Linked DNA regions of Lytechinus pictus. The protein of the gene in region 3 purifies or fractionates together with the protein of the main gene of each other region. This does not show direct contact. Links are inferred from orthologs where the notes say so. Each region holds a gene or a part of one and is shown on either strand. Other genes may lie near its edges. The genes, in order: intraflagellar transport protein 25 homolog, intraflagellar transport protein 81 homolog, intraflagellar transport protein 88 homolog and intraflagellar transport protein 46 homolog.

What was found.
Region 1: the proteins of intraflagellar transport protein 88 homolog (region 3) and intraflagellar transport protein 25 homolog purify together in Homo sapiens (affinity purification with mass spectrometry; 3 studies listed by BioGRID and IntAct, with this or other methods). This does not show direct contact. The link is inferred for Lytechinus pictus from reciprocal best matches to the Homo sapiens genes IFT88 and IFT25.
Region 2: the proteins of intraflagellar transport protein 88 homolog (region 3) and intraflagellar transport protein 81 homolog fractionate together in Homo sapiens (co-fractionation; 3 studies listed by BioGRID and IntAct, with this or other methods). This does not show direct contact. The link is inferred for Lytechinus pictus from reciprocal best matches to the Homo sapiens genes IFT88 and IFT81.
Region 4: the proteins of intraflagellar transport protein 88 homolog (region 3) and intraflagellar transport protein 46 homolog purify together in Homo sapiens (affinity purification with mass spectrometry; 3 studies listed by BioGRID and IntAct, with this or other methods). This does not show direct contact. The link is inferred for Lytechinus pictus from reciprocal best matches to the Homo sapiens genes IFT88 and IFT46.

What each region holds. Positions count from the first base shown.
Region 1 is NC_087255.1:5,608,055-5,616,164, forward strand, and holds the start of intraflagellar transport protein 25 homolog, read right to left. Parts: upstream 3,253-8,110; 5' UTR 3,051-3,252; coding exon 2,959-3,050; intron 4-2,958; coding exon 1-3. UniProt on the Homo sapiens protein: Component of the IFT complex B required for sonic hedgehog/SHH signaling.
Region 2 is NC_087260.1:11,012,183-11,020,820, forward strand, and holds the start of intraflagellar transport protein 81 homolog, read right to left. Parts: upstream 3,412-8,638; 5' UTR 3,333-3,411; coding exon 3,189-3,332; intron 2,031-3,188; coding exon 1,936-2,030; intron 797-1,935; coding exon 616-796; intron 1-615. UniProt on the Homo sapiens protein: Component of the intraflagellar transport (IFT) complex B: together with IFT74, forms a tubulin-binding module that specifically mediates transport of tubulin within the cilium. Binds tubulin via its CH (calponin-homology)-like region.
Region 3 is NC_087248.1:15,232,373-15,240,300, forward strand, and holds the start of intraflagellar transport protein 88 homolog, read right to left. Parts: upstream 3,361-7,928; 5' UTR 3,225-3,360; intron 1-3,224. UniProt on the Homo sapiens protein: Positively regulates primary cilium biogenesis. Also involved in autophagy since it is required for trafficking of ATG16L and the expansion of the autophagic compartment.
Region 4 is NC_087252.1:34,530,254-34,538,760, forward strand, and holds the start of intraflagellar transport protein 46 homolog, read right to left. Parts: upstream 3,509-8,507; coding exon 3,467-3,508; intron 1-3,466. UniProt on the Homo sapiens protein: Forms part of a complex involved in intraflagellar transport (IFT), the bi-directional movement of particles required for the assembly, maintenance and functioning of primary cilia. May play a role in chondrocyte maturation and skeletogenesis.

The DNA.
Region 1 (8,110 bases), on a different chromosome or scaffold from region 3:
TTGCTGGAGAAATAGGTAAAACACAGGGAAAAAAGCTCTCACATTATAGCACTGAAAAGTAAAAAACACATGAGTAGACTACCCATACATCTAGCAATGTCAACCTATAATTACCATTAACTTTTCATTCTATGGTAGAATACTTGAAAGTCAAATCAAAGTCAAGTGTTAAAGCTCTATTCTGCACAACAATTACCTGGCAATGGAGGATTATCTTTTGTTACTGGGGTACTCTGTACTGGGGTACTCTGACAATTCTCAGCACCCCAGTAACAAAACAATAATTACCTAGCCATGATGATATTTTTAAATATTTTTACATACACTTTTTCATCACAGAGCCTTGAAATGGTTGCCATATATGCATAAGCGAGACTTGTCAACAAGGATGGCTTTCCCTAGGAAATCCATAATTAGAGGGTGAAATCGGTTTGTTTCTCTTGATTTTATTTAATAATAGTTATTTATAATCAAGTTTCAAATTTTATTATTTGTTAAATAATAATTTTCATCTATAAATTGTTCTTTGAAACGGCATTTTGTAACATCGCTTATCGAAGCTACGTCATAACGAAGCGGTTCAAGGGTGAAGCCTATTGTATTTTTGGTGTTTACAAATGGATCGAGGGATCTACACAAGATCGGTCTGGTAAGAAACCTCTCCTTTTTCGTATTTATACTAAAATATTTTTAATCCCTTCATGTACGCATTAGGTGTATGAAGGTTCATAGATGAATAAAATCAAGAGAAACAAACTGATTTCACCCTCTAATTATGGATTTCCTAGGGAAATCCATCCTTGTTGACAAGTCTCGCTTATGCATATATGGCAACCATTTCAAGGCTCCCTGATGAAAAAGTATATAAAAATAATTATCATCACGGAGTCCTCAAGGCTAATAATTACCCATGGCCAGGTCTCTAATGCTGCACTGCTGTAACAGCACAAGCTTGGAACGGAATCCTGGGGATTGTTTCAGGAAATGGTCTTGGTAGAACCGTTCTACGTAGAACGAGATATCACTCAACTGTTTCACAAAGCCGATTTGGGCGATACGAAGAATGGTCCTTGGAAAGACACCTCCAGACATGTCCTACGTAGGCATGATCTTCTTTGCACACCGCCCGCCACCGTCAGCATTGATAGAAAATGCGTGACATATCAACATTTAACATTTTTTGGGGTCGTTTGATTGCACTCTGATGCATTTTATCAGGGATGGCGCCAAGTTATTTTTTAGATGGGGGCTGTTATTTCAACTGCTACGGGTAATAAATAATTGTTTTTAATATGTTTTCTTTTATTTTCTCACAGTCACAATTCTCCCTCTTTTCCCCCACCCCTTTTCCAGATTTTTTTCAACCCATCCCAATCCCAATTTTTGGACTGGTGCCTCAGAGTCTGAGGCGCCGGTCCAAAAATTGGGATTGTCCCAGAAAATAAGGATATCATCATAAACCAAGACAAATCATGTCTTGATGAATTGAGACTATCCTTGTTTATGGGGACAGGTTAATACCACTGCAGGACATAGAGACGGCAATTACGAGGCTTGAGAGTGCTAAAAATAGATTCAGTGACCTCAATTTCCCCCAGTTCACCGTCTATTTTTCACAACTTGCAATAATCTTGTTATGAAACCTGATATTATGTTGACATCGACTAGCGCACTGTTTGAATTCAATGGCGGCTAGGCTGGTGGCTAGGCCCTAGGCTAGGGCTAATGTTAGGCAGTTAGGCATTGCATTCATTACCATTTAAGCTTGTATAAGTCTACAGCAATATACTACAACTTGTTTTAGTTACTCTCCAATTACCTCCAGGCTACCCCCCCCCCATCCTGTTTGTGCCTCCACCATGTCCACCCCTCCAACGTAACATGTAGTAGCGTTAGAGGTCAAACGTTACTTGGTAGAACCACTATTGTACAGTCACATATTGTATTACCGGACAGTATCATGATTCCGGACGCGCATATTACTACGTACGAAAACAATTTTGTACCGTAAGACTTCCGCAGTTTAATTTCACAGAGCAATACATAGAACAAGATTGCAAAAACAAGGCAAAAAATCCAACTTTTAGTTTACCTTATTTATCTCTAAAATGACAGAAAATGCTTAAAATATCATATAACATAGTTTTGCAATAACAATTGATATATTTTCTGACAGAAATAAGGCCTGATTTGCCGAATTTCTTTCTCGTCCGCTCCTTTGATCGAATGTTGAGGTGCGGTGTATTGTGGGTGATCGTCGACGGCTAGTTCTCAAGGTACCCGTGCGCAAGGTTTACCGTGACTAGAGCTTTATTTTAGTCGACGATCGGCAGCGCATCGATAGAACTTGATGAGCATCACGATATACAAACGAGCATAATATTGGAAAGTGCCCTGGAATATGCAGTTAAAAAGAAAACATAAAATTAGTTAGCAACACAAATTATATTTCCAACATCTGCTCAGATTCGATATAAAAAAAAGCAAACAAATTTACTCATGATATGATATATTAAGAACAAAATCACACCAATTCTTCTTTACATCATTATAACAAAGAATATATTCTTAACCCGCCCGGCGCACGTCTGGAATCATGATGTAATTTGTCACGCACGAAAATATTTGTTTTTCGTGGCCGTGGAGGGGTAGGCCTATGCGAATGCGGCCTGCGGCAAGTGCGATGCAAAGAAAATGGTAGGCCTAGGTAAATATTAAATAATTTCATCATATTCATAATTTTCATAATATTTGGCACAGCAAGTGCGAAATTTTCTTCATTGCATTTCCTCTAGTTGTCATTTTTAAAGCACTGAAATAAAAAATTAAAGGTGTCCGGCAATACTCTTTTTTTTAGTTGAACTTGTAGTTCAGTGGGTAAAACTGACACGGTATTGGACACCTGGGACTAAGTATAGAATAAAATGAATAGTGCAAGCCCAATCAGGGCTATCTTACCCATCAATTATATTCTCGGGAGGAAAATTTTCATCACTTGACGTTGAAATAGGCACTTGAGCCCCTGCTTCTGCTAGCGCTACGTCAAACATGATGACCGTGATGATTTACCGAAATTTATCAGGTGTTTTTATTTAATCCCAGAAAATATGCGTCACCCGTAACCACGGTGTTTGAGCACGAGATGGCGTTCTTCCACTTCACTTTTAGTGCAGTGAAGTGAGATATTTTGAAGTTAATAGAGGAGTAAGGCAGGGAGATCCACTCTCTCCACATTTATTTATCATAGCGATTGAACTATTAGCTCATTATATCAGGAGAGATGATGAAAGTAAAGGGATAGGATTTGGGAAACGGGAAATAAAAGAAGTTCTGTATGCAGATGACATTACATTGTTTCTAAAAGATATGGATTCGATCCATAGAGTAAAAAAAATTTAAGTGGATTGAAGATTAATAAAACAAACTTTTTTGTGGTTGGGAGAAGAAAGAGATAGACCTAGTTTACCACTTTTTGGACATTGGTTACAACATATTAAAATCTTAGGGGTATATTTCGCACGGGATTCTAAAGTCAAAGATGATTTTGAACTATAAGGAAATCTTGAGTAAAATTAAAAGACTTATTGGTTGGTGGAAGCAAGAGATCTTACAATATTATGGTAAAATAAAACTTTTGAATGTGTATGCATTTTCAAAATTAAACTATGTTTCTTTCCTGATGATAGTCCCAAAAGACGTTTTTAAGGAAATAGAAAAAAAAATTCAGTTTTATTTGGGGAGGACACCAAGTCTGCCAAGACATTTTATAGGATCTTCAGTAAAAAGATTGTTAGTTTCACCGTTGTTTATATTCATTTTCATAAGATTTGATTTAGTCCAATTGATTTTTGGCCCAGCATATTTTCCAAACGTCTCGACTTCTTTCATTATCTTTGTAATGCATTGTGTGTGATGCAGGTTATGCGGAGTCTTATATACGTACGTGTTTTCCGTTGAGAAAAAAGAGGCGGTTTCAAACCGCCTCGATCACAAGAATCCCCGTTAAATTACGAGAACATTTTTAGGCTAAAAAATACCCATTAATTATTCCTGCATTCACATCGCCCCGAAACATACCCTTCGGGATAAATTCCTAAAGTTAGGAGCATGCGCGCGCAGCGGCAGTATGGTCTAATAAGCAGGCAAGGCGCGAGATTCAAAACCACTAGCCCAGCAGCCACCCACAGCGCCCGCGCCCAACGACACGCTGGGCTAAAAGTTCCCGTAAATTGCTTTCACATTGTCAGTACGCAATTTAGACTGAAATAATAGGGCATTTAGTTCCACCATCTTTATTCGCAAATTTTCAAGATATTTTTTTCGCAATGCGAACGTCAGTAGCTGACTAGAATGTCCCGGTTTTAGGTCGCAAACAAAAATAAGCTCACGCTTCGCGCTCGTAACAATTGTATATTGAAATCCCTTGAGATACATTTCTTGTAGGCCTACTTTAATCTGAAATGGGCTTAGCACTGTATGCCAGTTGTCAAGAGAGATTTTTCTATCACGAGACACTGCAAACAGTCATTGACAGGTCAGTGTAATCAGCTCATAGCACGAATTGTTTTTGGTATACACATCCTGCATCCTAAATCATTATTTGATTAGTGAAATATGTATCATATTCATGAGTCACTGCAAAAAAGCTAGCCATAGACTTTTTACAATTGATTTACACATAAAATATTTATATTTACCATCATTACTTTTAGCAATAGGGGAGACCGGGGTGAAGTGGGACAAAAAATACAAGTTGATGAATTTTCTCTTATAACTTTTCTTTTATTCAGAATTGGGAACTTGTGTTTTGTACCTTAAGACAACCGATGCTAGGCCACATGATGGAACGTTGGTTCATATTGCTGCAAGTCTCATATTTGTGTAATCATTGATTAGTAAAAAGCTTCTGAACGGGGAGAAGTGGGCCACCTCTGGGAGAATTGGGACATCGGCTGGGGTAAAGTGGGATGGCTAGGGAGAAGTGAGACAAACAATAAATAGGCCTACTAATAAGGTTGAGAATATCACATTGCGCATATATGTATATATATTATGAATATATATGTGCTTTTCATGTGTGCGTGCCTGTGAGTGTGAATGGGTGTGTGTGTATTTATGTGTATTTATGACTTACCAGATATGAAATGGATATGCCCCCAGAATACTTTTATTAATATGTTATCTTAGACATATCGAAAGAAAATGTAACTATCGATAAATGTCAGGTTATTCAATGCCCTTACTTTGACGTAATCATGAATCAGCCATCCACCAAAGCCAGTTATTATATCAGAGTCAATGTAAACCATATTACTTATGAGAAAATCCTAATTGCTGATGAATGCCATTGTAATCTCAATCAAAAATCAATCATGATCAACGCACACACCTCAGAGAAAATAATGCATTAGATCAAGACACATGTAAATGCTCCTCAAGTAAACTGGTTTTAACTTTTAATGCTGAAAACAACATTATTTGTAATTCAAACTGATACAATAAAAATTATGGCATTCCTTGACAGTGCTGTGGGATGTTCATCCTTTTTGTTCCTTCATAAGTATCAAAACTTGTGGATGAATAGATGTATTTGTGGTTTATTTTTTTTCAGCTGTTTTTAAAAACACATGTATATTTGTACTTTAAATTTGTGTGACATCCTCTTACATGTACAAGTTACAAGTAAGATATAAAAGTATATCCGAAGGGCTGAAAATGCAAATGTTGGCAACATATCCCTGTATTGGCATTTTCAGCCCTTCAGGTATTGTTGATTGTTGCTTTCTTCATATGCAGATATTTGTCTAAGTTAACAATGAAGGATCAGGTGTTCATTAAATTGAGCAAAGCAATTTGTTTTCACCAAAAGTATGTTGGTGAATGCTTCCCTTCCACACTTCACACCAATTTGGTGTCATTATTTTGGGAAATAAATCATAATCAACCTTTAGAAGTTCAAATTTTGTAACAAGTAAGGCTATACTGTTGTAAGCGATTTTGAAACTGGATGCTCTTTCAAATGTAAAATTAGGGTACCTTTCAAAAACGAAGTTAAAATATTTCAAGAGTATTAGTTACAATAATTCTCTGATGTGGCACAAGGCCACAAGCTAATACCTTTCATTGGTCTGGGGACATGTTGTCACATACAATTAGTGTAAGTAGTTTCAGGAAAAAAATGTCAGACTTTATAACTGTAACTCTATCATCAACAATTAGAACATTTATTAAAATCTAATTCAACTTGCCCATCCCGCCATAAGCTTTGAGCTAATCTGTCAACGCTAAACATTAGACCTACTGTGCATGGGGGAAGCAAATAACAAACACCGAACATAAGTTTCCTTAATTCAATATGGGAAACAACAAATTGTGTAGATGGGAATAGCCGTCTAAAACTGAGCATATATTGCAACCGTAAAAAACAGATGATATGTTTCAAATGTTGCTCATATTGTTTCACGATACCTTAAAGTCTTTTGTGTAGAGTATTTTTACTCATGAAATATGGTACATATTCCCCATCTATTTTCTGAAAATTCCTAATCTGCACATGCTACAGTAAAAATCCTGTCAACGTAAAACAAAAATTCTTAAACCATAACAGTTTGGGCAATATCCTTCACACTGAGATATGTGCAAAACTTGATCAACTTTTTCAACATTCTAGTTTTTCTGGAGAGATCACCAAGGAATGCTGATATTTAGGAGCTAGTCTTGCATCTTGGTTTGCGCGAAACTTGGCAACATATCTCCCGAGAGTTGACTTTTTTACGTCTGCTTCTTGGGCAGCATCTCGAATCGATTTCCCATCTCTCACCACTGCTTGAACAGCCTCCAACATTTCTGCATGGGACGTTAGTCCCATGCGAGTTTTTCGTTTGTAGTTCCTTGGCATGTTATCTGCAAAAGTATAAAAATGGGATGAACTGTTGACAGTACCACAACATATGACTTGACAAGTAGGTTCTCTAACAGAGTATTGATGAAGGTGATGTAAAAGTGTAGGCCTACTGCTTTAATTTAATTGATAGACTACATGTTCCTGAATAGATTGTGTTTGAATCAATTTGCCATACTTATACAAGGCCTACAATTATATGAACACAAGCTTCAAGAACTACTACCGACATGATTATGCCATATTGATTTAAAGTGATATGAATGTCATTGGTGTGAGGACCATATTGTATGACTATGGGGTAAGGTGGGACACAGTTGGGAGAAGTGGGACAGTAAAGGGAGAGGTGGGACAGTCATGTCCCAGTTTATCCCAACAAACACAAAAAATCTAAATGGCGGATAACTTTTCAAATTTGCACATTTTTGCAAAAACTTAGTATGCAAATTATTAGGACTAACAAGGCCTAGATAAAGCATGCTAAGTGTCTGCTAAAGCTATAAGAATAAATTCAAAAAGTACTTCACACTGACTGCAAAAAACTACAAAAAAAGTGTGAAAAAATAAAATTTAAAATTACACTTACCATGCAGGGGAGTTCTTGCGCTGTTGCTTCCATGTGGTTTTACTCTAATACCTAATGTCTATCAGGGGATAAGAACAGATAGCTGATTAGTTGAAAACTTTTCTAGATATAGGAGGTGTCCCACTTCTCCCGCGTCCCAGTTCACCCCGGTCTCCGGCCTACAATGTTTAAGAAATATACAGAACTTAATCTAGGGGAAGCTGAAAACTTATTTTTTGTCATCAAGAATTTTATGATTAATTTGAAATTTAAGTTTATTCATAACGCCACTGCATTATTGAAAATTCAAAAAAGGTTCCTGTTGGCATGTAAAGGTCCAGCATGGTGTTAATGCACGGCGCGGCCCAGATTATTTCCACTGTGGTAAACGGGGAGGGGAATAAATTTAAAGCGATCAAGCATGGAAATTTAATTTAAATTTTTATTTCCAGAAGACGAAATTACGCAATTCCTGGTCCCCTCTCAGGCTCTCCTTTTATCCCTGTCGATCCTTTTCCTAGCTAACTGTTTCCTCCCACCATGGACCTACTTCGGTCAAGGTTTGGGCACCGGATCTCGTCTTAAAAATATATATTATGTATGATATTATATATATTATGGGCCTATACAGTGCTCCCCGCCCT
Region 2 (8,638 bases), on a different chromosome or scaffold from region 3:
TGACCTTTGACCTTGATCATGTGACCTGAAACTTGCACAGGATGTTCAGTAATACTTGATTACTATTATGTCCAAGTTTCATGAATCAGATCCATAAACTTTCAAAGTTATGATGGTAATTCAACAGATACCCCCAATTCGGCCAAAGTTCATTGACCCTAAATGACCTTTGACCTTGGTCATGTGACGTGAAACTCATGCAGGATGTTTAGTGATACTTGATTAACCTTATGTATAAGTTTCATGAACTAGGTCCATATATTTTCTAAGTTATGATGACATTTCAAAAACTTAACCTTAGGTTAAGATTTTGATGTTGATTCCCCCAACATGGTCTAAGTTCATTGACCCTAAATGACCTTTGACCTTGGTCATGTGACATGAAACTCAGGCAGGATGTTCAGTAATTCTTGATTAACCTTATGGCCAAGTTTCATGAACTAGGTCCATATACTTTCTAAGTTATGCTGTCATTTCAAAAACTTAACCTCAGGTTAAGATTTGGTGTTGACGCCGCCGCCGCCGTCGCCGTCGGAAAAGCGGCGCCTATAGTCTCACTCTGCTATGCAGGTGAGACAAAAACAGAAAGACTAAAAAAAATGTGACATTCCTCACCTGTGCGTATGTATCCATAACAGCCTCCTCCTGCAGAATTTCCCCAGGTACTTCAATCTTTACAAGAAACCTGGCTAGATACGCCCTCTTCTTCAGCTCGGGCATCTTCTGGAATAACCATTCTAAGATGGAATAGACCACAGGCTTGTTGCCAGCTACAAGGCCCTGCCGAAAGGTAGCCCTAATAAAAAAATAAAATAAAATGGGAAATTAGTCAAATTGATCATATGGATTGTTAAGGGGGGTTTTACAAATGGTTGTGTGGCTATTGGTGTCCATTCTGACCGTGTTCATGATATCTATAGAGTAAATCTTATGATTTTAACAAAATCCGAAGACAAATATAAATTTTAAAGTTTAGAAACATTTTGTGAAAACAGTTATATGCACGCTGTTATGAATATGCAATAGGTGGGCTGATGATGTAATGTACTCTTGTTCCTTTGTTATTACATGAAATCATAAGTATTTTCATATTCTCATACAAGTGTGTGTGTGATATATCTCCCTTGTGACGAAATAAGTTGCAGCAATGGTTATCTTATTAAATCAGCAGACGATCATTCTTGGATGACAAAATTTGAATAATAAAATACAATAAATCATCAGCTTGTTCATTGCATATTCATGAAGACAGGCATCAGGGAATGATTTTGCTTTACAAATTTGAATAGAATTTTTGCTCATAAGACAAAAGCTCTCAACTAAAGTAATTTTCAGTCCTATGTAAAAATATGCTATACAAAAGACTTTATGCATCTAGCAGTCTTTCAAAAATGTGGAGCAAATTGCGATGCAATACCAGGAAAATTATTCCCTGGGCATAGTTCACCAAATTAATGCAAAATTTTAAAATGTTATCAACTTTGTTTTTCCACATCCAATTTTGATGAAATTTACAGTGTTGTTTGTCTGATTTTACTTCACCTGTTCAAATCATAGTTCTTACCATTTTCAACCTGGGCCCCGTCTCACAAATCCATCAGTGTCATAATTTTTTTCTACGAAAAATATGCACAATGACCTTTGTATGCAAAGAGAAGTGCAGTGAATTTTCTAGAAAACAATGAATGCATGAATATACATCATCTATGCTAGAAAATATTTTGAACAAACATGCATAATAGATATTGACGTTGCTGGCCGTCCATAGTTGCGATTGATCTGATCAATCGCAACTCTTTGAAGACGGGGCCCTGGAGTACCCCTAGTTAAAGCACCAACATGCACAGCATGGACATAACAGCATTTTAACCACTGTATATGGTTTCTAATGGAATTACACAATACCACTGAGGAAAGGGTGAAATTGATACTTACGGCTCCACCGAAGGCTTGTATTTGAGGACTTTGAGTTCAGCCAGCATTCTCATTGCTGTGGCATCTGGTGTTTCCTCTCTGATGTCAAGCTTGTGCTGGAGAGGGTAAAGGGCAATTCAATACCAATATAAATTTCGATGTTAAATCCACTTTGAATGTCCACTCCAATTCCAAATTTCAAATCAAATAATTTTTTTATTTGATTTCAAAATTCAAATTCAGCTTATATTGCTGTCTCTGTAATGCAGTATTTCCCCTTGATATCAAACTTGTGCTGGATATGGAAAGGGATTCATTCATATCAAAAGTAATATTTTGTCAATTTCCATTTCAAATTCAAATTGAGATTCACATTCAAATCACAAATTCAAATTCTAGAATGTCTGCCATAGATTTGAGGTCACAATTAGCACACCTTTCTTTGCCACAATGGGTGCAAGCGACCTCCGCGCGAATTAACTGTGAACCAACTTCCACATTCAAGATTGTAAGATTGTGTTTTGCAGTGAAAAATCAGGCACAATATGGTGGCCTGTGTAACAGGCTGTTCTTGCAAAAGACATGATTGTTAACAATGATTATGGAAAAGAAAATGAAGAAATATGACACGTTCACACAATACTATCCAACCTTTAGTAGAGCTGGGAAAATAATCATACTGAGCAAGATTTCCCAATTTTCTTACTTGAATTTATCGGCCTATAACCTTATAATCCCCGTGCATGGGCGCAACCATGTTGTTTTTTCTACTTGCGACTCTTATGCCCGTCTCACACTATGCAATTTGTTGCAATCCCAATTTCAAATTAATTGTGATAACATTTGATATGGATAATTCCAACTAATAAAATAATACAGATCAGAGTTCAGAATAGTGGTAGGACAACTGAAATCAAAATTCAGTCCAGTTAGAGCCTCCCTGAATGAATAAAAACAAATTCAATTCCAAATCGTAATGACGTCATCATCGGCTGCGACTTGAAGCCGATTTAGACTTTACTCCGACCAGAGGGCTTGCCGCAAAGTAAATATATGATTTTAGTTTTCGTAACAATATGCCAAACTTTAAATACAATAATTTTACTTCTTGGAACTTTCATATTTAATGCAAAATGCGATTTCTTGAAAAATCGTGTCACACCGGATCGCATAGTGTGAGACGGGCATTAGTTACTCAACTGCAGAATTGCAGCCGAGTAAACTTGTAAAAGTCGCAAACAGAACTGGCACTCAAAAGTCCAGTGAAATCTTACCTGAGGGTTGATTTCAGACAAGACATCATTGAGCACCTGCAACAGCTGAAGTGGCTCTAAGGCATCAAAACTGATCAGGTTATAGTTCCTCCGAAAGGGATCTTTGTTGAGCTGCTCAACCACATACTTGAGCTGGGTGCTCATCTTGAATCTCTTGAAGGTTATTGTCGTTCCGGGAGAATGGCCAGAAGAGAATCTTCACATGCTTTCCTAATGGGGAAGAAACAGAAAAAGGTGCAAGTATTATTCCACATACAGTGCGTCCCGCAAAAAACGAAACCAAGATTTATCAATGATTTATCATAACTTAATCACAAGTACAATAGACAAATGACCTACCATTGTAAAACTTATGTAAACTTTCTCATTCATGCATGAGTGAGCAAAAACAATTCGAAGAGGGGATACCAAAAAGTCACTTGGCGGGCTGTATCTGGGTTTCAAAAAGAAAACCACATTGTTTAAAATTTCAATATCTGCTCTTTCATTTGATACCTCAATTTACAGAAAATGGTCAAGAAATAACAAAGTTCTGGTTATTTGAAATAAGACTTGAATTTCAATAATTTCATAAAATGAAAAGGTTTTACAGGCTAGCGTTCAGACTCACTCGACACTCTGTTTTGTTGACAATCAGCCATGCATCAGTCTTTTGTTAACCATGCGATAGCTTCTGTGGGAAACCGGTGAAAACATGTTTATTTAATGAAATTATGGAAATACAAGCATTGTTTCGAGGGAACAGAACTTTTTTACTTTTTGACCATTTCCTGTGATTAAGGTATCAAATAAAAGAGCAGATATTGAACTATTTAGGCATATGACTTTCTTTTTGAAATTCTGATACCCCCGCAAAATGAGTTTTTGGTATCCTTCCTTCAAATTGTTTTTGCTCACTCATTAATCTAAGTTATTTTAGATGAAAGAGGAGATTCTAAGCTTTACATTGGTAGGTCATTTGTCTATTTTTTTTATGATTAAAGTTATGATAAATCATTGCTAGATCTCGGTTTCGTTTTTGTGGACGCACTGTACAGTAATCTCCCAACAACAGAGATCAAAACATGAAGCGTGTACATGTATATATTGAGGAATCTGAACTACACAGTGACTTGTGTGAAAAATGAAAAATAATAAAAACAGGGCAGTGAACCCTTGAAAGATTTCAGGCACAAAATAAGTACGTTATGGCTGCTTGAAAAATGAGAAAGGCAGGGATTCCACGATCTCAACAGCATATATATTATTAACAAAAACCATTGCCTTGTGTCTTGCGCATGCATGCTCTCTTAATATCAACACTCTCTCCCATATTCAATTTCAATTTAATTTTCACATTGGACAGGGTACGCCAATTTTGGTTCCTTTGTTTTTCCCGGAAAAGAACTTGGAATCCCACATTTAATGTGAGATGTTTGAGTAAAGAATCAATGTGTACAAAAATTTTATGTTATTTGCATTGTTAAAAACACAAAAGTGGTGACGAGCTCCATATCGAGGATATGCGTCTTATAGCTTGGCGAAAAGCAAAGAAAACAACATGGCGACGTAAATATCGCGGCAAGTTTCCCCCGTCTTTTTAAAATATTTTTCACCATTTTTTTATGAATTGTTGTTTAAAAAATAAAAATGAAATCAGTAAACAATTTTTAGAAATGTCGGAAATGAAGTTGTATGCCATTTACATGATTTAGGGCTAGATCTTTTAGAAGGAAAGTAGAAATCTCGGGGGCGAAAATTTCAGGTTTTTTTTTCACAGTAGGCCTACACGCATATGAATGGGACGCAATCCCTGGCTCCGTGGAGAGCAAGCACACATTGTCGTTAGTGAATGATTTTTACTCTCTAGGAGCCTCCTGGCTAATCATAACGTGACGTGATCTGCACGATGAACCAATAATCAGCGGCCTCCGAATTGCTGCCGTGACCTGTGCGGAGCCTGGCATTTCGTGCTACACAGTAAATGGGTAACATGTCGACGTGCGACATGGATTATATCCCATTGCAATGAGATGATTATCATTCCGCATGTTTTGAAAAAATTATCATCGAAATCAGCATTATTTTCTCGCTCCTTCAGTCCACTTTCTTCATCATCTTGTCAAAAGATGGCGTACTTCACCTATAATAGGGATCCCAAAACGAAAATCTAATTTTTTAAATCTATGTTTAAAAGCATTGAAAAGTACCTCACCTGAATCAGCATATTCAAAAACCCCAAGTGAATGACTTTTAGTGTTCCAAAGAGATCTAAATATCTGTTAATCTGAGGCGAAATTAGGTCCGAATTGTGACAGATTTGTGTACAAATTTTCTCTTTGAAATTTGGTCGACACGTACGCACAGAGCTCGGCACTGAACGAGGGATTGTGGGCGTGTCCTTTCTCGCCTCGGTCTATTATTACGCAAATACACAACTCGAACGAAAGTGCGTTCACCGTATCAGTTAGTCTCAGATCCGAGCTTATACAAATAAACAGTGATTAAATAACAAGAAAATAATAGAAAGAAGAGAAAAGGGAAAATTAATGGCTCAAATGCAGTCGTTTGGTGACGGATAGTATGCTCTGACCTCTTGCTGATATAAGGATTAGATATGACATAAGTTTTATGCCATGATAACTAAAGCATGGGGGGGGGGGCGAGGGCACTCTGACTTTCAAAATAATTAATTATTTAAACATCTATATCTAGGCAATTAAGGGAGGGTCCAGGATTTCCAAAGGGGGGGGGGGCACTTTTAGCGGCGGCAGTCAAAAAATTTAGGGGGGCACCAAAATTTTTGACAAAAAAAGGTTATCAAAGGGGGGGGGGGCCGAAAAAAAAATTTAGCCCCCAAAAAAGCTAACAACATCCCCCATAGGCAGCGGGGGGGGGGGGTCGTGCCCCCCCCCCTAAATTTGAGGTGGGGGGACGATCGTCCCCCCCCCCTAATTTTTTTGTTGATAACCTTTTTTTTTGCCGTTCAATTTTTTTTCCTGCGTGCCCCCTAAATTCCAGTGGACCCCCCTAAAAAATTCATGTGGTCTCCCCTAAAATTTGGGTTGATAAACTTTTTTTGGGGAGGGGGCTTGTCACAAAATTTTGGTGGTCCCCCTCCCTAAATTTTTGATTTCCGCTGCCAATGGTCCCCACCTCAAATTTAGGGGGGACAGGGCCTATGGAGGGCACATTTTCCCGATGCGAATTTGATGAGCATTACAAAATATTTTTTTACCAAAAATTGAAAGTCATTTCGTCCCTAAAAATTGACAAGCAAAAAAATAGGGCATATATATATATATATCCTCACTTTCAAGGGGGCATGCTTGGGTAAAAAGGGCATGCTTATATTACAAATTACAATTTTGGCTCTCGATAATTATGCCCCTTGGATCCACCAGTAATCTAAGGGGAATTTTTTGTTTTTAGTTTTGATATGGCTACCTTCTCGGAGGGCGTCCTCGCCGCGGTAGCTGGATAGTGCTGCAAAAGAGTAGGCCTTATACATCTTTTGCAGCATTAACTGACACTCCGAGACTTATAATTTTACCTTATATTTAAAAAATGAATAATACAAAATAAAACATAAACACTTGTTTTTAGAGTAAGTTGATGTCAAAATATATTCAGTCTGGGGCATGAAGACTTGGAACTCTGCCCCATATCATTGTCCTTGCCTCGCTCGATTTGTATCATTAAAAAAAAAAATAAAAATGTTTCCACATTAAAATTTTGATCTAAGTACAATGGCCAGAAATAATAGTACGAATAAGCTAGCAGAATTTGTATCATACCACCCATATTATTGAACGCCAACGAAGGCAGTTTCTAAATCCTGTTTGCTTTATTCCACTTTTCCACTAAGATTCATCCCTTTTGCGTGTCATATGAAAGCAGTTTTGTGCGCAGATCTAGCGTACCGGTAGGACCACATGCAGTCATTAATAGGTCTCTTTAATTTTTTTTTCAACAAATGATGTCTCATGCTTTCTTTAAAATTAATAAATTAGAATCCTTGTATATGGCCCTGGGAAGTGGGGTGCTCGGGTTGTGACCCCCAGGTTTTTTTTTTTTATTTTTAGCTGGTGGTGCGTTTTTTGTACACGTATATATAGTTTAAAACAGGAAGAAGAACGACATTGATTTTTGTACCGCATTATTTTCATTAATAATTTTATTGGTAGAAATATAAAAAAAAACATTTTTCAAAACCATTCCGCGGCTCCTGGAAGAATGGAGAGATGGACGGAAGGAGAGAAATAAATAGGATGAAGGGGTGGATCCAGCCAAAGGGGGGGGGGGGGCAAATTTTTTTTCACCATTATTTTTCCCCAATCGGCCGCGCGAATATGATTTATATTTGTTTCTATGAAGAAATTGTCACTTCTTAGCTTTTGTCTTATAATCAACATAAATATATGATATCATAACCTTTTTATATAATGCGAGCTAATTTATTAAAAAAAATTATGTTTTTCCCCAAAGTTTGAAATTTCTGGGCAATGTTTATCATGAAAAAGATGTGTATGCAACTAAATAATTACTAAGAACGCGAAGTGCGAACAGAATTGAAATCATAGGCACTTTTTGTAACTTAAACAGGATAGGTATATATAACTTGGCAATTGATGCGAAGCGCGAGCACAAAATTGGAAGATTTAGACCTAAAAACGAGACATGTCTAGTCATGTCTTTTAAATCATCATGGAAAGGATGTCCAAATTGCCGATCTTTGTTACTTTAATAATGCTCGCACAAAGCGCGAGCATAATTTTTGTATACGTTTTGAACTGATCAAAAAGGTACCTGTTAAGGACTGCTTATTTCACTTAGCCATGGAGACGTTACATATTTCAACAATAAAATAATGCAAGCGCGAGCCGATTTTTTTTTACACTTCTACATAAAGAATGGAAAATTTTAATCAATTATTGTGACCATGAACAGGATCGTCGCTATAAAACAATTAATGCGAGCGCGAAGCGCGAGCGGGAAAAAATCGAGATTTAGACCTTAAAAAATGGGACACTCTATTCATGTTTTGTATAATAAGGATGAGTAATAGGGGTTCTTCCTACATAAAAAATGCGAGCACAAAGCGCTAGCAGAATTTTGTTTTTCAGAAACTGGATAATGATTGAAATACTAACAAGTTGAGTATCTAGATAGACATGCGCTCGCGTGTTTCCAATTTAGGCCTACAATCTAGGAATTCTGAATATATATATTAACATGAAATTGAAAATCAAAGCGAGCGCGAAGCGCGACCTTAAAATATTTGACATTCTGATCTGAAAAAGGGGTCAATTTCAGCTCAAGTACTTTGTGAGGTGGATTTGGATCGCACTTAATAAAGAGCTGATGGATTTGACAAAGGACCGGGACATGAAAGTGATGGATATCTTCCTATTCCTCTTGCTAAGCGCGAGATGAAACAGAAAGGACAATTTAACCATTACAATTAATAT
Region 3 (7,928 bases):
TTTATTGAGACCATAATAACAAGACAATAATGAGATAATAGACAATTGAAATCAATCTGTTTTTATTTTTTTCTAGAAATCCTAAGATTATTATTTTAATTCTCTTTCTTTGATTACAAATTATATTCATTGAAAACTTAATTTCTAATGTTCAAGCAAAGAAAATCAATATCAAGTCATGTTTACCCTGTGCACAAACCTACCACAGGGCAATTACCCCCGAAATAGGGTTAGGTTAGGTGTAGATTTTTGGATAGGGGTACAGTGTAGTTGTCCGGGGGGGGGGGGGTAATTGTCCAGGGGGGTGGGGGGAGGGGAATTGTCCGAGGGTGAGGGGGTGAGGGGTTATCGTCCAGGGGTAGTTGCCCTTGAACCAAAGAAATCATATGCCAATATGTCAAATCAATCTGAGTACTTTAAGGACGTTCCACAGTTAAAGTGAAATCCATGTCATTTTCACCAAACTTTGCACATAGATACTTTAGAACCTGAATAATCGAAATATGCATAAATTAACATGGGTCCATGTGCTTGATTTTTTGCTATAGAGCTTTAAAGGTTCATTCAAATGGATGTTCTCAAGAATTGCGCATTCAAAAGAATTTGGCATTTTTAGACCTCACGAGATGCACTACAGTGTGTTTAAACCTGTATTACTCAGTCAAAATCCATGAAAATTTCATCAAATTTCGCAAGAGAGTTAATAATTGTATCTTTAAGATTGGGAATCTATTTATAGTGCTATTTTTTTACTGTTTTAAGTCTAACAGCACTATCAGTTCTTAAAAAATAGCGTAAAAGATAACAAAAACCTAATATCAAAAATGTAAAGTTTCAATAACAAACTAGAAAGTGCAATAAATGCTGCACTTTATTAAAAATCCATGTCATTTTAACCAAACTTTGCAAAGTTGTAGAGGAAGGTATACTTAAGAGGTGCAAACAATGAAAAATAGGTGTTCATGTGCTTGTTTTCAAACTATCAGCACTTTTATTAGAGCAAATGTGCTTTTTAAAACACAAAAAACGCGCCAAATGCTTTGTATCCATCTGAAGAAAAATTAAAAACCACTCGTCCATTTATTCAAACTCGGGGTCATATTCATCATTCTTTGCAGCACTGCAGAGTAAAGTATTATGAAATTGTAGAGATACTTTTTAAAAATGCAATTTTTTTAGCTTCATAAAATAACGCATTGTGTTTGCAGCTAGATCAGATAAGGAGAAATATTAGCTCATACCTACAGCTAATTAATCACATGTTCATCCATTGTGACGTCAGCGCGCAGAGTGTAAAATATGCGCAGATCATAATGCGCACAAACATAACTGTGGAACGTCCTTAAGATTTAAATAAAAAGCTTGTACAATTCCCCATAAGCTATGTATTATAAATGTGCCATGCCCAAAACAAAGAGAATAATTAAGATTTCGCAATCTTTTGTCCACAAAAAGGCCTGTTTTTTCATCACAAAGATGACAATGACTCGACTTCTAGATATCGGAATTTGAAAATTCAAACAGTTTTGTGAATCGTAGATATTGAGCCTCATTGTGAGCCCATCAAATATGCTGGAACATCCTTTCGCTTTCCTAATTTTCACCTGAAGTGCCTAACTGTAGTGTAGCCTGTAGGCCTAGGCCTAGACCAAAAGCTTCGGTCTCTGTTATGTTGGTTGTTCAGCTGAACTCCGTTGGCTTCACTCACCAAATACAGAGACCGAAGTTTTAGCGCGATCTGTACAGGGGACTCAATGGCCATATGTTTATGTGTATTAAGTTCGGATAAAACAGGGCAGTGAAGTTGCGCGACAGCCGAGGTAAGTCACTGTTTTTGTTCCTTTTAACTTAATTTTCCCTGTTTTTTGGCAATTAATGCCAAGAGGGAATATTAATTTGCATTTCGGTCGCGTTAATTTTCAAAAGTTTGATTCATTAAAGACAAAAATTGAAGAGCCCCAACGGGGGGATTTTGTATTGTAAGTCCCCTAATGGTGGCTGCACGATAGCGAGCCGTCTGTGTATGAGGAGAAATTTAAAAAATAAAAAAAGGTTAAAAAACTCCTCGAAACAGACGGCTGCCAGCTGTCTAGCCTAGGCCCTACTATCTTTTTGAATTTTTGAAAAGTGCCCAAGCCAAGGCAATATTAGACAGCTGGCAGCCGTCTGTTTCGAGGAGTTTTTTAACTTTTTTTATTTTTTTTTATTTCTCCTCGTACACAGACGGCTCGCTAGCGTGCAGCCACCATTAGGGGACTTGCAATGCAAAATCCCCCCGTCGGGGCTCTTCAATTTTTGTTTTTAATGAATAAAAATTTTGAAAATTAACGCGACCAAAATGCAAATTAATATTCCCTCTTGGCATTAATTGCCAAAAAACTGAGAAAAATCAAGTTAAAAGGAAAAAAAACAGTGACTTACCTCGGCTGTCGCGCAAATTCACTTCCCCGTTTTATCCGATCTTAAGTACATAAACATATGGCCATTGGGTCCCCTGTACAGATCGCGCTAGAACTTCGGTCTCTGTATTTGGTGAGTGAAGCCAACGGAGTTCAGCTGAACAACCAACAACATAACAGAGACCGAAGCTTTTGGTCTAAGGCAATACCGGTATATGCCTGGCAATGCAAAATTATGGTCACCCCACGTCCACAGAGAGAGCAGAGTCAGACTCAGTCTCAGACGAGTCAGACTGTGACCAGTCACAAAGTAAAAAAAAAAGACAAAAAGCCCAAGCCCCAAGCCAAAGAAAGCCTGAATTTGGCCAAAAAAAAGGTGAATTTTGGGCCTGGCTTGGGGGTAAAAAAAAGAAGCATTATTTCATTTGGCAGACATGATGATGACAGAAAAATGTGATGGCAGACATGATGGTGCAGATACAGATGACGCATGCAATACGTCTAACGTTAAGCAATGGCCAAAGAAAATTAGAAATAGTAACGTTATTATTCTTTCAAAGCGACAGACGCGGCCGCGGCTCGCGACACGAAACGCCACCGAGCAAGCGACCGCGAGGGCGCCGGATGCCTCGGGTCAACTGTCTTCAACAATCCGCTGGCGATCAGCGTCACCGGTGGGCATGGAAACACGAAATGTGTGAAGTTTGTTAACCCATTTATCTAGGCCTACGCGCATTTTTATTTATATGACTTAAACATAACATATATCAAAGTCGGAATAGTTCAATTAATAACATATAAAACTTGAAAAGTGACCCAACATACCAATAAGTAAATTTCGAGAGTAGCGCTCGATATTTTCGTTGAAGGAATTTTTACCCAAGATGCTTTGCGTTTTGACGTTGACGGAGCAAAGACCCGAGATAACAAGACATCTCACTTCAGTATATTCAATATCACTGAGTCGTAATCCTTCGTGTCCATGATGATGTTTTATATCTTTTCCGGATGACCGGATCTAAATTAAAAAAAAATATATATAAAATAAAAAAGTAAAAAGAAGTAAAAGAGTTGTTTAAAATTTACACAACGCTGGTTATTTACTGTATGAACCTTACAGTAGTTGTTTAACTGAAACTTTAACAACTTAAACAATAAACTTTGTTAAAGATACATGTTTTTTTTTTTTAAGTTGATTTGAATCAATATGCAGTGGTGGACCGTGACCCGGAGGAGACAAAGCATTGGAGGGGCACAGCATTGTTCACAAACAATACAGTGCCCCTCCAATGCTTTGTCTCCTCCGGGTCACGGTCCGCCACTGTCAATATGGATATATAGTTAAACAAACACAATGCTGAAAATCGTATCAAAATCGGATATAAAATAAGAAAGCTATGACAATTAAAGTTTCACTTACCCAGAAGGAAAAACCAGTTCCCGCACTGGACCAGTTAGACCAGTATAATTTTAACTGGTAACTCTGGAAATTGGAACATCGGTTTACTGGTCTAACTGGTCATACTGGTCCAGTTAAAATTTTACTGGTCCAGTTAAAAATTAACTGGTCTTGAACTACTGGAATGTTATACTGGTCTTGTTTCTGGTGGCTGTTACTGGTCTCACTGGTCTTCATACTGGTTTCCAATTTCAGCTGGTCTTTACTGGTATTTTTTTACTGGTCTGACTGGTCCTCGAACTGGTCGAACTGGTCATCATACTGGTCTTACTGGATCAATTTATTACATGCATTTGGTTTGTTATATACCATGGTCAGTGAAATGTGATGGAAAAAATGGTTAGTAAATTAATCTTTCTGCTGTTATTTCAAATGTGACGTATGAAATTACACATTTTCATTGTGAATTAGTTTACACACTTATTTAGACAGTTTTTAAACAACAATGAGTGCCATTGCAAGGATATTCCATTCTAAATCCTGATTTTTCTTTAAAAAACAGGAAATATGCAAATGAGGTAAACCACGTGATCAGCATCATCAGAATTACTGGTCTTGACCAGTTCAATTTCAAACAATGAATTACTTTAGACCAGTTGACTCTATCAGAGGAATATATCTTGATTTATCTTAATCATTTAAAAAAGGAAATAATTATTTTAATGATAATGTTCATACTTGATAATTATGATAATATTAATAATAATAATTACAAAATCAATAACAATGATAAAAGTAATAAGAATGATAACAACAATGATCATAATAATCATAATAATTATATTAATTATAAAAAGAATGATGATAACAATGATAAATGATAACGGTAATAACTTTCTCTGAATTGCAAGATTCATTTTCCATAATTCGTCGTATGATCTGACTTGAAATAAAGTCATTATTTATTGGACCAGTACAACACCAGTTTGATGAAAAACAATTTAACTGGTATTACTACTTTGTTTGAACTGGTCTCCAGTTGATTTTTACTGGTCCAGTTAAAAATCAACTGGTCCAGTAAATACATACTGGAAACCAGTAAAAATCTACTGGAAACCATTTATTGGACCAGTATATAGCATCAGTTTGATGAAAAACAATTTAACTGGTATTACTAATTGCTTCAACTGGAATGCAGTTGTTGGAACTGGTCTCCAGTTGATTTTTACTGGTCCAGTTAAAAATCAACTGGCCCAGTAAAAATATACTGGAAACCAGTAAAAATCTACTGGAAACCAGTAAAAAAAAAAATACTGGTCTTACTGGTTTTTCCTTCTGGGTATTTTCACAAAACAGTTACACTATGCAAAAAAATTATGTAGGGATTGTCATGCAGGCATCATGCAGTCCCATGATGTGCAATTGTGCATGACAATCACTATTTTTTTGTATTTTATTGTAATGAAATATGAAATATTTGAATATCATCCTTTTGTCACTACGTGTAACAAAGTTTCATTCGAGTCATAACATTTTGTGGTTCAGTCAAGTTGGTAACTAGTCAAATTTGTTTAAAAAAAAAGAAAACAAAGAAATGAAACATCGTAAATAATTCAAACAAGACAAACAAACGAAATAGTGAGTGCAGAGGACATCATCAACTGTCTCATTTTATATCACTGTACATAGTGTACTGTTCAATGTGAAAATAAGTGATATTCAAACAATTAAATAATGCGAGCGTGAAGCGCGAGCTAAAAAATTGACATTCCGACCCCCCCCCCCCCCAAAAAAAAAAAAAAAAAATTATCACGAGCGCGAAGCGTGAGCGGAAAAATTGACTTTTCAGACCTAAAAACGAGACACTCTATTCATATTTTGTAAATCATGAAAACGATGGGTAATAGGTATTCTGATCTGAAACTGGATAATTTAAAAACGTTTCGACTGATGAACAAGCTGCGTCTGATCTCAATAAACATGCATGCGCGTTTTTTTTAAGATTTAGACCTATATAGAATCTGGTGGGTGAGTCATAAAGTTGTCAGCACTGACTAAATTTTCAGTGCTGATAATTTCAGTGAATCCTTGGTTTTGATTGGCTGAAAGCCTGAAAGGCACTGGCCTCTGACTGCTACTATGGTAATTGTCGAAGAAAGACAACTTGTCAGTGCTGACAACTTTCATGAAACGGTCCCCAGGGCATTCTGAATACATCATTTCATTCATTGATTTCCGTTTCACAATGTTGTAAATAATATAATAAACATAACATAACAAGACTTAATATCATATATAACATGCATAATTAGGTCTATATAAAATATACAGACAAATTTTTGTATTTTAGAGTAAAACGGAGAGGCTTGCCGAAAAAACAACTATGAAAGCCCCTAAACTTACAAAAAAATGATAATAGTTGTAATAATTATTTATATGTACACTTGGCAAAACAATCATCAAATGAAAAAAGCATAAAAATAAAATCATGACAAACAATAATGAGAGCGCGAAGCGCGATCGAGCTGAAAGTATTTCATATTCCAATCTGAAAAAGGGTAAATTCAAGCAATATTGGGACTATTTCAAGCAGTGCACTATGTATGAAAATTGTGAAGTGGGTGTGGATTTCACTTAGCGCGAGTTTTTATTATTTTTATCATATTTTTATTAATATTTTGACCTATATAGGACCGGGACATTATATGGACATTCTGACATCATATGAAAATGATCACCATCTTCATATTCATCTTCCCGGCGAAAACCTTTCATTTGAAAACACTATACCCCAGATTCCCTCAATCAATTCTCTTCTCCAAGTACGACAAACCATAACTGCCCCAAGCAAGCAATTTAAGTATCAAAACACCTGTTTCTGGTCCGAAGATAACACAACAGCCCGAGCAAAGCCAAAGCATGCCGTCATTTTAATTCACTTACTTTCCTTATTTCGAGGTCGATTTTCTTCGTTCGAACTTGAAAATGGACTAACATTGGATTTCTGAATACAATATGCATTTGAAAACGTGATTAAATATCGAATACAATAATTTCATTCCGAAGGTCCTACTACAGGCAGAGAAGTCTTACGTAATAGCACAGCTGTTGTTTATCATTTCGTCCTTGGCTCAACGCTCATAATCTGGCCTGTGGAGACAGCGGGGATTACCTGGCCTAGCGGGATTGATCAGGCGGGTGTTTCATAAAGCTGTTCGTAAATAAAAAGCGACTGGTGATCCTGTCTTGCGGTAAATGGTACACACCATTGGCGAAAATCTAGCGCGCGAGAAAGGATCACCAGTCGTTCTTAAAGTCGCTCTTAACTTACGAGCAGCTTTATGAAACGGCCCCCTGGGCTTGGAAATGATTTTGGGATTTACAAACGCAAAATGGGGTATAGAACCGCAGTTTGCAATCTGAACTGCGGTCTTTCTCCAAACGGGGGTTTGACGTAACGGCTAAGCGCGAGGTGAACTTATCAATATTCCATTCTAATATAAAAATAAGGGGGAAAATTTAGTTATTAGGAATTCATAAAAATGTTATTATCTTATTTATTAATCTATAATAAGCCTATATAATGAGAGCGTGAAATTTGTTAATTTTAAGGCCTGAAAACTGGACATTTTAAGTACTTTTGTAATCATGGATAGGATGCATGGGTTGGCTGTTGGCACGCTGTCCTGCCGAGTTCATACGGGAGTTACCTGTCCATAAACATAAACATTTAGCAAATAATATATAGTGACATGAAAGATTTTTTTTATTTTCCAGGCAAGCCTTTCTCTCACCTTATTTTATTCATTCGTCTCCCTCCTTTTACTCTGTTCTCTCTTTTTTCTTCCTTATTTCTCTTTCTTTCCCCGTTTTTGTCCTTTTTTTTTGCTCCGCCAATATAGAGCTCTGTAATAAACTGTGTTTACTGTGAGCAAGCTTATAATTCAAAGTTCGAGCTCTAATTCTTACAATTGAATATTGACAGTCATTATTTTTATCTGATTCACTTTTCATCAACCCTTTAGTTTTGTATAAATTCGGTCTCCAAATAAAGCGAGTGGAATCTTTATTTCGCATATAAAGTGACCTAGTGATCGATAGGTTTGCTTTTTGCCAATTTATACATTCTC
Region 4 (8,507 bases), on a different chromosome or scaffold from region 3:
TGTTTTTTAAGTTATTGCATTTATTGGTGTCTCTATTTTATCAAACAGTCATGGGAATTGCGCATACAATGAATCAAGAATCTAGTTTTAAAAATACCGACAAGCTGAATTAAGGTTGTGAATTGTATTAGCGCCACCAACGACCTTCCTTTTTATTTCTGTGGAAGAGACATGCGAAGCCACTTTCCAGGCCGAGGTAAGCGATTTCGCTCTTTTTTATGTTCTTTTTATTTTAAAAAAAGATTGAAAATTGAACGCTTTTTACCAGAAAAAGCCCTGGTGAGTAGCGGAATGAGTTTCAGCTAACATTTGCGTTATGAAGTGATGTTAACCGACAACTCAAAAATCCATTGCGTACACTAGTGTACCTACGGGGGAGCAGTCTGCCCCCCCTGACGAGCCACAACCCATGCAAAGGACGTATTCCTGCCCCCCCTGATGAGCTTGAAAGACCTTTTTGCCCCCTGACGAGCTTGAAGACCTTTATTGCCCCCCCCCCTGACGAGCTTGAAGACCTTTTTTTTTGTCAATTTTTTTCTGGTACGAAATCCTTTATTTGTGATTGACTTTTTTATTTTATTTTTTTTCTGGTACGAAATCCTTTGTCTGTGATTGAGGACCTTATTTATTTTTTTTTTTTTGCTTGTCAAATTTTTTGGCGGACGGTTTTGCCCCCCCTGTGGAAAATCCTAGGTACGGCACTGATTGCGTAGACACGTTCGTAGCACTCGCACATATTGCGAGGTTAGTTAGTCCGGGTTATAATTGAGCAAGGTGCCACTTGGAGAAGGAGAAATTTTCATATAATGCTTCTAGACCAGTTTTTTACGCTGAATATGAATATATGAGGTAAACAGGCTGTATCCTGAAAATTAACCCGTGAGGGCGCTTTTTTCAAAATGGCCGCCAAATTTTCATAAAATTTGAATATTCGTACATAGATTTTGACATAAGCATCCAATTGCCATGAAGTTAGTGTCATATGAAAGCCAATTAAATTTCCTTCAATTTGATACTATTTATAGGGGATAAGCAGGTCATTTAACCGAGATTTCAAGTAGAAAACTTCATTTTTTGTATTTTTTCCCAAAAATTGAAAAGTTTGCAAATACATGATTTTACATAATTCTAAGAAAAATGAATTAATTACCTTGAAATGTTCCTGAAAACTGTACTATATTATTATCACATGGATGAAATTTAAACTCTGTATCATTTTTCTAAGCAAATTTATAAGGTATCAAACTTGAATTCTTCAATATCAGAAATGTTGCTTTTTGTATGCATTTCCATAGACTAATACGTATAACATGTATAATACATGTATGTATAATGTATAGTTAAAACTTAAATGCAATTATCTCCGCTAGTTAATGTAGGCTTTTCTCTATCAGCTACATAGAAGAAAGTGTTGGCACATCGAAGCCTAACACATTCTCATGGGGTGGGGGTGTCGAAGTCCCCCCCCCCCCACCCCGTGGCCATATCATGTTGTTGTATTTATTGGAAAATCACTATTTTCTGAAGCACCCATTGAGGCAAAAGGCAATTCTTTTTATACAGTACAACCACTTTAATTACTTTAAAACCACTTGGAGAGGAAAAGAGTAGGCTTTGTTCTCCCAGCTACATCAAAAGAAGTAGAACATCGAAGCCTACCTCTCTCGGTGGGGAGGGGGGGGGTATGGAGGTCACCCCTCCCCCTCTTGCTAATTGCTAATTCATTTGGAAATTCACCATTTTGGACCCAACATTGAGGCAAAAAAAGCGTTTGTGCATTATAATACACCCCATTTTATTGATTTGAAAGAGTAGAGTTCGTTCTACCAGCTACATAAATAAGCGCACTCACATCGAACCCTAGCCCTCTCAGGTGCTGTCAAAGTCACCCCCCCCCCTCCTCTATATCATGTATATTGCCTATTTATTGAAAATTACACCATTTTAAATCACCAATAAGGCAAAAGGGCATTTCTACTATACAGTGCGTATAGAAAAAAACGGGACAGATTTGAAAAGTCTATAAAATGTTTGTTTCAAATTATGATGTCTATATTTTGGTGTTAATAGGTGCTCTAAGGTCTTATCTTTCAAATGCTATTAAAAAAATTTAGTTTCGTTCATGCTTGAGCGAACACGGAATGTTTTTGTCTGGGGTTTAAAAGGAGGCTTGCACCAAAATGGCATAAAATTATAAATATGATGATCGGACTTCTTGCTAATTAGCAGACTTCCTCTTAACCTTTTCACTATCTTTGCCATGATTTTCAAATCATGCGGTCAAAATTCATTTTCAGATCTATTTATTTGCTTGAATTATTCTGTTGTTTCTTTTTAATATGCTCTCTGTTAGCTTTGAATATTCCTTCTTCAAGCTAAAACAATTTTGTTTCAATCGAATTATGGGAGAGCATGGATTTTTTTATTCAAATCCTTTCATTGAGTGCTACAAAGGTTATGGTGCCTTTTGAACAGTGCCACACAGATGGGCGGGCGCTCGGGATGTCCCCCCCCCCCCTCAAAAAAAATCATGACCAAGAAAAAGAGTGGACAGGAAATAAAAGGAAAGATAGAAAGTAAAATGTGTTATTTTCTAAATATTTTGTCAAAATCTATCAAAAAATTTGATATTGTAATAAAAAAGTGGGAATATTTGCGTGCTCACTTCGCTCGCTCACAACTTTTTAATACATTTTACCCGATCTTCCATATCTAGCTCCTTCAAAATTGACTCAATACATACAAGGGATTCATGTCATTGAAAGACATGAATCGCTTCCTGTGTTTACTGTCAAGCAAATAAACTTGGTCAAGGAATTAATGACCCCTTGAAAAAAAGATTCATGTCTTTTAAAGGTACATAACATAGTTTGTTTCACATAATAAAAGGATTTGAATAATCACAAGTTTTCCCAATTAATAATTCAAATCTTCTTGCTTGGGTTGACAAAAAATCTTCTTTTCTCAGTTACTTATGAAGGAAAATTAAAAGGTAAGAGAAGTTTAAATGAAAAAAACAAAATATCAATTAAATGAATAAATTTGTAAATGAAATTTGACAGCATAATTCGAAAATTGTGGCACAGATAATGAAAAGGACAAGAGGAAGTCTCCCGATTAGCAAGAAGTCTGATCATCTGATCATCATATTATTAATATTCTGCAATTCTGGCGCAAGCCTCTTTTTGAACCCCCAACAAAAACGTCCTGCGTTCGCTCAAGCATGAACAAAATTTATCTTTTTTAATTGCATTTCAAAGATAAGACCTTAGCGCATCTATTAACACCAAAATATAGACATCATTATTTGAAACAAAATTTTTATAGACTTTTCAAATCTGTCCCGTTTTTTTATACGCACTGTATGGTACAGCCAATTTTAATTTCTTGCAATGACTTGGATAGGAAAGAGTAGACTTTGCTCTATCAGCTATATATTAACAAGTGCTGGCAAATAAAAGCCTACCCCCTCCGGGATGCAGTTGAAATCACCCCATCCCTTTTGCATTATTGCATATTTATTGAAAAAAAAATCACCGTTTTGAAACCCCCATTGAGGCAAAAAGTCATTTCTGATTAGAACTCTGCCTTTTTTACTACCTTGAAACCACTTGGAGAGGAAACAATCATGGCAATAGGCTTTGCTCTATCATCCACAGACAAAGATTTGCTGGCAAATAAGAGCCTACTCCCTTCAGGGGACTGTCGAAATTACCCCCCCCCCCCTCTTGAAATTCACCATTTTGGAGCCCCCATTGAGGCAAAAAGGCGGTTCTGATATATAGTTCTTCCACCTTTACTGCCTTGAAACCACTTAGGGAGGAAAGAATAGGTTTTGCGTTATCAGCCACATATAAAGAAGATAAAGAAGTGCTGGCAAATAAAAGCCTACCCCCTCCGGGAGGCTGTTGAAATCACCCCATCCCTTTTGAATTATTGCCTATTTATTGAAAAAAATTCACCGTTTTGAAACCCCCATTGAGGCAAAAAGTCATTTATGATTACAACTCTGCCTTTTTTACTACCTTGAAACCACTTGGAGAGGAAACAATCATGGCAATAGGCTTTGCTCTATCAGCTACATACAAATATGTGCTGGCAAATACATGTAAAAGCCTACTCCCTTCAGGGGACTGTCGAAATTACCCCCCCCCCTCTTGAAATTCACCATTTTGGAGCCCCCATTGAGGCAAAAGGGTATTTCTGATATATAGTTCTGCATTTTTTCACCCTTGAAACCACTTGGAGGGAAAAGAATAAAGGCTTTGCTTTAAAAGCTACGTATAAAGCATATCCCCATCAGAGGACTGTTGAAATCACCCCACCCCCTTTTCATTATTGCTTATTTATTGAAAATTCACCATTTTGGTGCCCCCATTGAGACAAAAAGGCGGTTCTGATATATAGTTCTGCCACTATTACCACCTTGAAAGAGTAGACTTTCCTCTATCAGCTATATAAAGAAGTGGCTCTACTATATACCAGAAACACCTTTTTGCCTCAATGGGGGCTCGAAAATTGCGAGTTTTTCAATGAATTGGCAAAAATCGTAAAAAAGGTGGGGTTACAGCTACATGTATAGTCCCTGAAGTGGGTCAGGCGTCGATACGGCAGCAATTCGACATATATAGCTAAAAGAGGAGAACCTACTCTTTGCTCTCCAAATGGTTTCAAGAAAATGAAATCGGTTTTTTTTATACAGCAGAAGTGCATACTACCTCAATGGGGGCTCAAAATTGTGAATTTTCAAATAATTAGGCAATAATGCAAAAGGGGTGGAATGGTTTGACAGCCGCCCAGATGGGTAAGCTTCAATGTGCCAACACTTCTTTATATGTAGCTGATAGAGCAAAGCATATTCTGTCCACCTACTCTTTCAAGGCAGTAAAAGTGGCAGAACTACATACATGTATCAGAGATTCTTTTTTACCTCAATGGGGGCTCAAAAATTGTGAATTTTCCAATAAATAGGCAATAATGCAAAGGGGAGAGGGGGTGACTTTGACAGCCCCCAGAAGGGGGTAAGCTTTTATTTGCCAACACATCTCTATAGCTGATAGAGCAAAGCCTATTCATTCCTCTCTAAGCGGTTTAAAGGCAATAAAAGTGGCAGAACTATATATCAGAGACGCCTTTTTGCTTTAATGGGGGCTCAACAATAGTGAATTTTCAACAAGTAGCCAAATACCGAAAATTAGTGAGGTAACTTTTACAGCCTGAAGGAGATAGGCTTCGATTTGCCAACACTTCTTTATATGGAGCTAATAAGGCAAAGCCTACTCTTTCCTCTCCAAGTCATTGCAAGTAAATAGAATTTGCTGTACTCTATAGTAGAAACGCCCTTTTGCTTTAATAGGTGATCCAAAATTGTGAATGTCTAATAGATAGTCAAATACCGAAAATTGGTAAGGTAAATTCTACAGCCCGCTGAACATTCTGAAGGGGAGAGGCTTCGATTTGCCAACACTTCTTTATAGCTGATAGAGCAAAGTCTATTATAATACTCTTTCTTCTCCAAGTCATTGCAAGAAAATAAAATTGGCTGTACTATATAGTAGAAACGCGCTTTTGCCTCAATGGGTGATCCAAAATGGTGAAATATCCAATAAAATAGGCAATATACATGATATAGAGGGCGGGGGGAGGGGGTTGACTTAGACAGCCCCTGAGAGGGCTAGGGTTCGACGTGCCAGCGCTTATATATATGTAGCTGATAAACTCTACCTTATTCTACTCTTTCCTCTCTAAGTGGTTTCAAATCAATAAAACGGGGTGTACAACAAAGCACAAACGCTTTTTGGCCTGAATGTTGGGTCCAAAATTGTAAATTTTCAAATAAATTGGCAATATTAAGCAAAAGTTCCCCCCCCCCCCCCCCACCCCGAGAGGGGTAGGCTTCGATGTGCTACTTCTTTAGATGTATAGCTGGTAGAACAAGCCTATTCTTTCCTCTCCAAGTGGTTTCAAAGCAATCAAAGTGGCTGTACTGTATAGCAGAAATGCCTGTTTTTGCCTCCATGGGTGCTCAAAAAATATGTAATTTTTTTAACAAATAGGCAATATACAACAACATGATATAGCAAAGGGGTGACTTCGACACCCCCACCCCCATGAGAGGGTCAGGCCTTGATGTGCCAACATTTTTTTTTATGTAGCTGATACAGAAAAGCCTACTCTTAATTCTCCACGTGGTACAAGCGGAGATAATTGCATTTAATTTTTAACTACCGGTAAACATTATACATACATGCATTATACATGTTATACGTATTAGTCTATGGAAATGCATACAAAAAGCAACATTTATGATATTGCAGAATTCAAGTTTGATACCTTACAAATTTGCTTAGAAAAATGATACAAAGTTGAAATTTCATCCACGTGATAATAATATATTTTAAAAGTCTTCAGGAACATTTCAAGGTAATTGATTCATTTTTCTTAGAATTATGTAAAATCATGTATTTGCAAAATTTTCAATTTTTGGGAAAAAATACAAAAAATGCAGTTTTCTACTTAAAATCTCGGCTAAATGACCTACTTATCCCCTATAAATAGTACCAAATTGTAGGAAATTTAATTGGCTTTCATATGACACTAACTTCATGGCAATTGGATGCTTATGTAAAAATCTATGTACGAATATTCAAATTTTATGAAAATCTGGCGGCCATTTTGAAAAAAGCGCCCTCACAGGTTAATTTTCAGGATACAGCCTGTTTACCTCATATATTCATATTCAGCGTAAAAAACTGGTCTAGAAGCATTATATGAAAATTTCTCCTTCTCCAAGTGGCACCTTGCTCAATTATAACCCGGACTAAGTATAGTATACTAACCTCGCAATACGTGCGAGTGCGTTAGTCCTACAACATCGTTGGAGTAAACTAAACTTAACAGACTGTTTCATTCAAAGTAGACCAAAAGCTTTGGTCTCTGTTAGTGTTATGTTGGTTGTTCCACTGAACTCCGTCTCCGGCGTTGGCTCCAGCCTCCTAGAGATGATCGCTACTTGACGAATCTCAGCCTCCGCAACCGCTTTCACAGTGCACGCCGCCTCAACAATGACTTCGCTGCAGCAACTGGAGTGATTGTTTCCACTCAAACAATCCGTAACCGACTTCACAGAGCCAAAATGCATGCCAGACGGCCAGCTCAGTGTGTCCCACTCACCCCTGCTCACAGAAGAATTCGTCTCAACTGGGCCCGGGAGCATGTCAGATGGACCAGACAGCAATGGCGTAGAGTTCTGTTCACAGATGAGAGCAGATTTTCCCTTGACCACAATGATGGACGTTCGAGAGTCTGGAGGCGACCAGGAGAGAGATTTGCAGACCCCTGTATTGCAGAACATGACCGTTATGGTGGAGGCATCGTCTTGGTGTGGGGAGGCATCACCTACGCCCGGGGGGGCCACTTACATTGACGAGTGGATACCATGCGCGACCAAGAAAACACGTAAAAAGGGTGTCTTTTTCAAGATAGGGCACGTTACGTACGTAACGTGATAAGGGTGTCAAAAACACAAAAATAATGAAAAAAGGGTATCTATTTCGCTAGGAAAGCTACGTGTTTAGGGTCACATTTGCGGGGATGATAAAACAAAATTAAAATGTTGTATAAAGGATGTCCTTTTTGCACCAACACTACGTGTTTAGAGTCCTGATTTGCGCGAGGTGAGGAAGGTGGGACCTTACTAAACCAAATGGTGTGTAAATTAGGTAAAACCGACGACCGACGGACCCGGCCGTGACACAACAATAAAATATACTTGTTAAGGGGTTCATTTCAGGGACTCAATACTTGCCAAGAGTATAGTTTTGTTTCCAATACTTGTTAAGGGTAGGGTTTCAGACGCCAATACTTGTTAAGGGGTGCATTTTCAGAACATGGAAAATACGTGTTTAGGGTGCTTTTCGAGACCCCATGGTCGCGCATGGTATCCACTCGTCAATGGAAGTGGCCCCCCCGGGCACCTACGCCAACCGTACTCGTCTCTACGTGGTCCCAGGGGGAGCAATGACAGGAGTGAGGTACAGGGATGAGGTCCTTGAACCTATAGTGGTGCCATTTGCAGAAAATGTGGGACAAAACATCATTTTCATGGATGACAATGCCCGTGCCCACCGAGCTAGGGTGGTGACCGAGTTCCTTGAGGGCCAGGGGATTGAGCGTATGGAGTGGCCAGCGAGGTCCCCAGATTTAAACCCGATAGAGCACGTCTGGGACATGATGGGGAGGAGTCTCGAGCAGCTCGAAGCCCATCCACTTGGACTGCAGCAGCTGGGTGTGGCTCTGGAGGCTGCATGGGATGCACTGGACGTCAGAGACATCAATCGCCTCATCAGCTCCATGAGACAGCGCTGTGAAGCCGTTATTGCTGCAGGAGGTGGTCACACTCGTTACTGAACTGCCTGAAAGACACTCAGACATTCGTTTTTACCACTTCATGTCGGTAGCTGATACCCCTCGGGGCCCACTTTTCAGGATGTGCAGTGATGCGAGAG